Linked DNA regions of Macaca fascicularis. The protein of the gene in region 2 interacts with the protein of the main gene of each other region in a pairwise test. Links are inferred from orthologs where the notes say so. Each region holds a gene or a part of one and is shown on either strand. Other genes may lie near its edges.

The links.
Region 1: the proteins of CCNK (region 2) and CDK18 interact in binary tests that used the Homo sapiens proteins (3 or more experiments, as listed by UniProt). The two-hybrid records come from large-scale screens. The link is inferred for Macaca fascicularis from reciprocal best matches to the Homo sapiens genes CCNK and CDK18.

What each region holds. Positions count from the first base shown.
Region 1 is NC_088375.1:63,365,460-63,369,108, reverse strand, and holds part of CDK18 (cyclin-dependent kinase 18), read right to left. Parts: coding exon 3,589-3,649; intron 2,807-3,588; coding exon 2,750-2,806; intron 1,907-2,749; coding exon 1,792-1,906; intron 1,605-1,791; coding exon 1,510-1,604; intron 1,207-1,509; coding exon 1,144-1,206; intron 190-1,143; coding exon 66-189; intron 1-65. UniProt on the Homo sapiens protein: May play a role in signal transduction cascades in terminally differentiated cells.
Region 2 is NC_088381.1:167,557,273-167,561,445, reverse strand, and holds the start of CCNK (cyclin-K), read right to left. Parts: upstream 2,935-4,173; 5' UTR 2,729-2,934; intron 1-2,728. UniProt on the Homo sapiens protein: Regulatory subunit of cyclin-dependent kinases that mediates activation of target kinases.

The DNA.
Region 1 (3,649 bases), on a different chromosome or scaffold from region 2:
CCCACTGCACCCACACCTTGAGGCACCCCAGTGGCATCAGACCCCGGCCCTAGCCCCAGCCTCACCGAAGTCGGCCAGCTTCAGCTCCCCCTTCTCGTTGATGAGCAGGTTCTGGGGCTTCAGGTCCCGGTGCAGGATCTTGCGGTGGTGACAGTAGGCGAGGCCCCGGAGCAGCTGGAACATGAAAATCTGGGAGAGGGGGAAGAGAAATGTGAGGTGGAAGGTGGTCCTAAGCCTCTGCTCCAAGGCTGGGACCGGGATGGGGGCAGGGGTTTGGCAGTGAGGTCAGCACAAGCCCCTCATTCTCCTGCCCACCCTGCAGCCCCCATCCTGGGCCCAACCCACACCAGGGAGTCCCATCCAGAGGGGAGGACACCAGGGATGCAGAAGAGGCAGTGAGTGTGGGGGAGGCCAGAGAAGTCTCAGTCAGGAGCACGGGGGTCAGGATGCCTGCCTATGTGGAGACATATGTGCTTGATTTTTTTTTTTTTTTTTCCTTTTTGAGACAGCGTTTTACTCTGTCACCCAGGCTGGAATGCAGTGGCGTGATCATGGCTCACTGCGGCCTCAACCTCCCGGGTTCAAGTGGTCCTCCTGCCTCAGCCTCTCAAGCAGCTGGGACTATGGGTGCACACTACTGTGCCAGGCTAATTTTTCAATTTTTAGTAGAGATGAGGTCTTGCCATGTTGCCCAGGCTGGTCTCAAACTCCTGGGTTCAAGCCATCTTCCTGCCCTGGCCTCCCAGTGCTGGGATTGCAGGCATGGGCCAACACACCCAGCCTTGATTCTTTAACAAACACCAGAAGAGGTCATTCATAACCCCCAGTTTCCCCAGAAGCCTCCCTGCATTCTGGCAGGTAGCTCACACTCCCATTTGACAGATGGGGAAACTGATGTTCAGAGTTGGGAGTGGATTTTATACCAACAGCTAGACAGTGGCAGAGAGTGTGTGTCTGTTCCTGGGGTAAAGTGCTCAACCCAGTTCCTAGACTTGTTGATGGCACTGCCCTCTCTCTCTTTCCCAGGTGAGAAGGTCTGAGCCACCCCAGCAGCCGGATCCCTGGAGGTGAGAGTGGGTCCCCGCACTGGGCTTCTGAACAGGTGGCTGCCAAGATGGGGGGACCCTGCCCCTGAGGCCTCACCTTGACGTTGTGCATGCTCATGAGGTTCCCACAGTGATCCAGATACTGCTTCAGGTCACTGTCCTGGAACACAGAGCGTGACTCAGTCCTGCCCCATGGCCAGAAGCCCGGACACAGGCTGAGGAGAGGAAGCCCCTCCCTGGGAAGGGCCCACGCCCACTAGTGGGACAGGTCCCTGGCTTGAGCCACCCCTAAGCCTGAGCTCTTGGCCCACTCCTGCACGGGAACATCTGAGAACCTGATTCCAGAACAAGGCCTGGTTCGCCCTCATCCCACCTCTCCCACTTCCTCAGCTTCCCACTCCCCTACCCACACCCTGTTTCTACCACAAGAGGGAGAGGCTGCCAGCCCCAGCCCGACTCTCACCAGGTACTCAAACACCAGGGTGAGGGACCGATCTGTGTGGATGAGGTCATGCAGGGTCACAATATTGGCGTGCTTCAGGTTCTTCAGCAGAGACACTGCGGGGAGACGGGCCTGCCTGGGTCCCCAGGATGCCATGTGTCCCCATACCCTCTTTTCTTGGGGTCAGCTCCAGGAGTCCCACTCCAGCAATGACCCTCCACCCCCAGCTCCTACCAGGGCGCAGGCTGGTGAACCCCTCCTCCTGAAGCCCCAGGGGGAGTGTGGGAGCCTAGGACGCTGTACCCTCTCGGATGGCAGTGCAGGGCGCTCCCTCCTCATGCTCCAGCCGGATCTCTTTCAGGGCCACGAGGTTCTCCGTCAGTTTGCTGCGCCCTTTGAAGACTGTGGCATAGGTGCCCTGGGATGGAGGGCCGCAGCGGTCCCAGGCACATTCAGGTGCTGCTGGCCTCTGCCCAGTGTCTCCCCATTTGTGCCTCTGCCTGGGCTATGACTGGGGCCTGAGTGCCCTTCCTCCCTTCACTGACATGCTGTTTCCTCCAAAGCCTACTTCCTCCAGGAAGCATCCCTAATGACCCCCAGTTGGAGTGAATCCGTCTTCCTCTAAGCCCCAGCACGCCGTGTGCCCCTCTATGATAACACCAGGTTTTTTCTTCCCTATATGATGCTGATGTTTACACAGAGGTCACCTCTTTGGGCTCCTGGAGGGAAAGGGCTGTGTGTTGCCCTCTCTGTAAACCTTCACCCACCCCAGGCCTCTGCACAGTGACGACAGAAATACTTAAGTGATACAGCACTTCCTATGTGCCAGGCATTGTCTGCGTGCTGTACATAACCTGCCCAATCCTCGCAATAACCTTATGTGATAGGACAGTTACTATCTCATTGGACAGAGGAAGAAACTGAGGCACACAGAGAGGTCATGTAACTCACCAAAGGTCACAGAGCTAGTAAATGGCGGAGGTAGGTTTTGAACCCAGGCAAGAAGGACTTGAAGAAAAAAAAAAAAAAAGACTGGATTCTGCCCAGGGCCATGGCTACTCTATCCTCACGCCCTCCTTCAGGATCTGAGCCCACTTCAACCCCTGCCAAAGGCTGGGCCAGAGTGCACGGCCAAGACTGTGCACCTCTATGGGGCAGGGGCCATGAGAGGGCCAACCAGAGAGGGCCGACCAGGGAGGTCTGCCCCTCCTCCAAGCCATCCTGCCTGGCTATTTGGAGAAGACCATACCCAGCCTCTTACCTCTCCCAGTTTGTCCAGTTTCACGTATGTTTCCAGTTTCCCAAAGCCAATGTCTGACTGAGAGGGAGAGACACAGAATGCCATGAGCTTGAAGCCCTTAGCTCCACAGACATGACAACTCCCCCAACTCCAGCCTCTGGGAGGGAAGGGATGAGACCCCATGGTGGAAGGGGCTCGTTTTCCCTTTATCCCTGTGATAAAGGACAGAGCTCATGGAAGTGTGAGTTTCTTCCTCTCAGGACAGCCGAGAGTGTGGAGCCCAGGGCTGTGGCACCTGGGATTGTTGCACATCTTGGCTACCTGTGTCTCCGACTGAGACCACAAGCTCCTCCAGAGTGAACGCTGCCTTTTTTCCCATTTTACCTTGAGTGTCCAGTTCAGAACCCACCTACCTGACGGTGTGTCTCATCAGCACACTTCTAGCTCAGGTGTATCCAACCCTTAACAAGACGGATTCCCGGACCCCCTAGCCGGAGAGGCTGATTCTATAGGCGTCTGGAGGGGTCTTAGAGTCTGTGTTTTGTAAGATGTCCCAAACAGCTCTGATAGGCAGCTAGGACTGGAAGGCACATGCCAGCTGGCCTATTGATCTTAACCATGTGGAGAGATCGTGGGACCTGGTGTGGGCTTAGAGTCCCATTCTAGCCCAAGTGGGACCCATCTAGGAAATGGATGATGTAGGAGGACGATCTAGTTGAATGCACTCAAGCCAGCAGGTGGCGCCAGAGGCCCAGGAATCTTCCTGGAAACACCATATAGGCCTCAGCTGGGACTGATATGCCTGTGCTGGGAAGGGCATATCACCCCACCTTGTGTCCTCTGACCCTCTTGGGACTCACCAGGGAGGCCCGGCGGGACATGCGGCTGGGCGGCTTGGGCAGATCTGGGCTCTCCATCTGT
Region 2 (4,173 bases):
GGGGGGTGGTAACTAACATTCAGTAACATGTCCATTGTGTGTCTGCTGCGTTGCAGCCATGTCTGCAAGCTAGTTTTCTTATCCTCACAATTTATCACTGAGAAAATGGAGCCAGAGACACGAAGCAACCTGACTAATTCACAGCTAGCAAGCAGCAGCCACAATCTGTCTTACTTTATACCAAGATACTGCCTTCCCTCAATCTAGACACTGCTTTTCTTCTGTAAGTGGAACATTACATCCTAGAACCACTTTTCTCAAGCCAGGAAAACTGAGTTTTTGTAAATGTAATCACACCAACTAAATTTATTTATTTAAAAAAAATTTTTGAGACGATCTCACCTAGTAAATTTATATCTGGTTGGTTCTGGCCTATTATTATATTCCAGCCTTTAAGAACTCTTTGATTTCTGAGTGTCATCTAATGTGTGGCTGATTATCACTACATGGTTTGAGTGCATTTATTAACTTGAGAATCATGCTGTTTATATATTTAAAGTTGGTAATAAAAAAGTGTTAATCAGAGCAAGGGCAACACCAGAGTCTTGTAGCATATCTCCAAAGACAACTCCTCAGGTTTACATCAACCCATTAATCAACATTTTGGGGTTGGTAATTTGCATGGATATCAATCCATCTAACCACACCTTATCCAATGCATATTTAACTCTTGTATCTAGACACAGTATTAGAATCTTGTTGGAAGACTGTGTCCTAAATAAACTTAAATGAACTTACGTCCAGCAATCCCCAATCACCACCAGTCTAGTAACAAAAGGAAATGATTTGTGTCACCTGGCTTTTTCTTGAAACAGGGTCTTGCTCTGTCGCCCAGGCTGGAGTGCAGTCACGTGATCACGACTCACTGCAGCCTTGATCTCTAACTCAAGTGATCCTCCTGCCTCAGTCTCCCTAGCTACCACAGGCATGCACCTCCACATCTGGCTAATTTTTTTATTTTTTTTTAGTGATGAGGTCTCACTATGTTGCCCAGGATGGTCTTGAACTCCTGAGTTTCAGTGATCCTCCAGCTTTGGCCTCCCAGAGTACTGGTATTATAAGCGTGAGCCACCACCTCTGGCCTCACCTGGCCTTTTCTTATTGAAGCTCTGTTCAGGGAATCAGCTCTCCTTTCCCAAGTACTCATAAACTTGTTGGCTCTTCCAACCAGATTCTAAAAGTTTATTAATAGGTTCCTAGCAGCCAAGAGCCATCGAATGGTTCTGTGTGAAAACTGAGACATTTACCAGACTCTAGTCTTCTATCATTAACTGCACTTTTAGGATTTTTCAAAATTTATGAATAATGATTTTATAAAGTCATCTGCAAATACTCTGGTATACAATTTACCTGAGCTTAAAAATATGATCACTCTGTAATCTCCTCAATTACCTTGAATTTAATTCCTCTAGATTTTTTTGTCCTCATCCAGTTTTAAAGAAAACAAGCAGAAAACACTGTCCTCCCTTTTAGACACTCAGCAGAGTCACTGCTTTCAAATATAACGTCCTAAAATGAACTAGCCCATTTTATAGGCCACGGCTATGACCAATTTTTCTTTATGACATTCAATTTTAGAAAGAGCATTTAACATTTAAGAACCTCATTAACAACTCGAATAGTTTTTATTGCTTGTTGGTGCAACCTACATTTTCAAAATGGAACAAATTTAAACAGGATTTGCCTAGAAATCGACTAATATGCTGGAATACTGCATCACAGTATAATCGAAATGAGATACAAGAGGGGGAAAAAACCCTAAAAGACAGCAGTGGTAGTCGCTCTGAATAAAACAATCTCGGATAATTACTATATTCATAGTCAAGATTATTTAACAGGTAAGCATCCTAAGGGCATAACTTTAATCCAGATGTCTATCAATACTATTACCATTACCACCATCTATCCATTCTTTCATTCAGCAATACGGAGGGCTTATTAAACGTCAGGCAGTGTTCCAGGCGCTGAAAGCTCCTCGCTTTCATTCTAGCAACATCATTCATACAAACTTTTAGTGGGCACCTACAATTGCAAGGCATTGTGCTAGATATCTGTAAACAGCGATTTACATCGAGATACACAAACATCACCAAGTTTCCCTTAAAAACATAGAACACCACCCTTAAGAAATGGTTAGAAGTTCCTAACCTCAGATGACTTAGCGAAAGCTCCGTTTAACTGGCAATCTAAATTTAGCGAGCACTAACGAGCCTATCTTGGGCAGACAATAGTTTAGGAGCTGTCAGATAACCTCTAGATTTACGCTCCAATTTTCTAAAGAACAATTTCTCTCATAACAAACCAAAGCAACCACCAGGAGCGCGTCCGTAAAGACGATGTCTCGGCAACAACTAAATCTAACCGCGGAAGTGCCTTTTCCTCATTCTTAGTCGCACCCTCGTTACGTGGCTCTTCAAAACTCCAAAGTCGGAGTACCCTAGACACGGAACAACCTCCAAAAAGTCTCAGGCCTAGCCAAGGTTGGGACTAATACGCCGCGAAATAATCGGGGAGATATGAGCAGTCTGTGGCTGTGAGACTGCGCGGTTAACACCCCTGCCCCTTTTGTCCAACCCCTAGAAAGTCCCCGAACTCTGACTGCTCCCCAGTGCGAGGGCCGCTACCAGTTCTAGACTGAGCCCGGCCTCCCTGCCCCGCCCCGGCGCCTCAGACCCTCTCTACACGCCCGCCCCACAGCCCCGCGCCGCCCGCTAAGTTCAATGTGTACCGGAGGTTAGCGGAGGGAGGCAGAATCCGGAAAGAGAGACTACGCCAGTGGATGGCGGCGGTTGACCATAACCTACTCCGACCTCCAGATACGCGGGAGGTGGGCGGTGCTGCCCGCAGTCGGTGGGTCACTCACCTCTCGCTTCAGGCAAGCCCCTTAGCGACGTCTCTCCTTGCGTACTGCGGCCATCTTGCATGTGGAATGTCGGGGAACTACGTCATCACGCTGCGTCTTGAGACGAAAACCAAGCGACCGGAGGGGCGGAGAGAGTAGGATGCCTGTCAACCAATGGGAAGAAAGCAGAGCTCTCAAAAGAGGAACAAGCCGCCGCTCTCCTCCCCGCCCGCCCGCCCGCCCCGCGGGACAGTGGCTGCTGCGTGCAGGGGGAGGAGCCAGTCACAGGGCCCATCCCGTCGGTCCCGCCCCTTGGAGCAAAAAGGCATTCTGGAGCAACCGAACCTGCTAACGGAACTTGGGCGCGTAGGCGGGGCCCGGGTCGAGATTCGTCCAATCAGAGCTCTGGCGGGGGCGAACGCAGCCAATTGCGACTTCGGGGTTGGCGGCCGCTGAGCCGGCCGCTCTCGTCCCCGGGAGCCGCCAGCCCACTGGCTGGGGAGGACCCCGGACGGAACGCCGGCTGGGCGGTGGGGCGGGGCCGCGCCCATGCGTCCGAGGTGTGGACCAATGAGCAGCGGCGGCGGCGGCCCGGGGGCGGGGTCCGGGGCGGGCGGAGCAGGGTTGGGCCGCGGCAGCGGGGCCGTCTCAGGCTGCCGTCCCGCCCCTCCCGTCCGGCCGCCGCCGCCGCCGCCGCCACCGCCGCCACCGCCTGGGGGTTGGTTGAGGCGGACGGCGGGGTCCGGGCCGGAGTGCGTCGTTCCCGCTGCGCTAAGGGAAGCGGGCAGGTGAGTGCTGGCGGCGGTCTCTGCGCGCGCGCGGCCCGCGGGCTGCGGGGAAAACTCGCGCTGCGTCTCCGAGCTCTACGAGGCCGTCCCTCGCCCTGGCCAGCGCCCCTCGGCCGAAGTCCGGCCCGCGCCCCCGCCAGGGTCTCCGCCTGCCGCTCTGGGCCCAGGGCTTGAAGGGGGCAGGTGTGCGCTCGGGTGCCTGGGCGGGGAGGGCCCGGCGGGGTCGGAGGGCTCCGGTCGGCCTCTGCCCGGGCGCCCTGCGGGGCGGGAGGCGCGCTCTCGCCGCTGCCCGGTCCCCTCTGCCGCCCACGCTCCCGGGCCCCGCGCCACCCGGTCTCGAGGTGGTGGCAGGTGCAGGCAGCGCTCTCCCCGCGCTTGGTCTCCTGTCCCCGGCCCTCGCTCCTGCTCTCGGGTGGGGCCCTGGTCCCTCGGGCTGGTCGGCTCGGCTCTGCGCGCGGCCGGGTCGAGCTCTCATTTCCTTCCTTCCTCCCGTCTCCCCGCTGCTCGGGGAAGGCCGTGCGGTTTTATGTTCCTCTCTGCGAG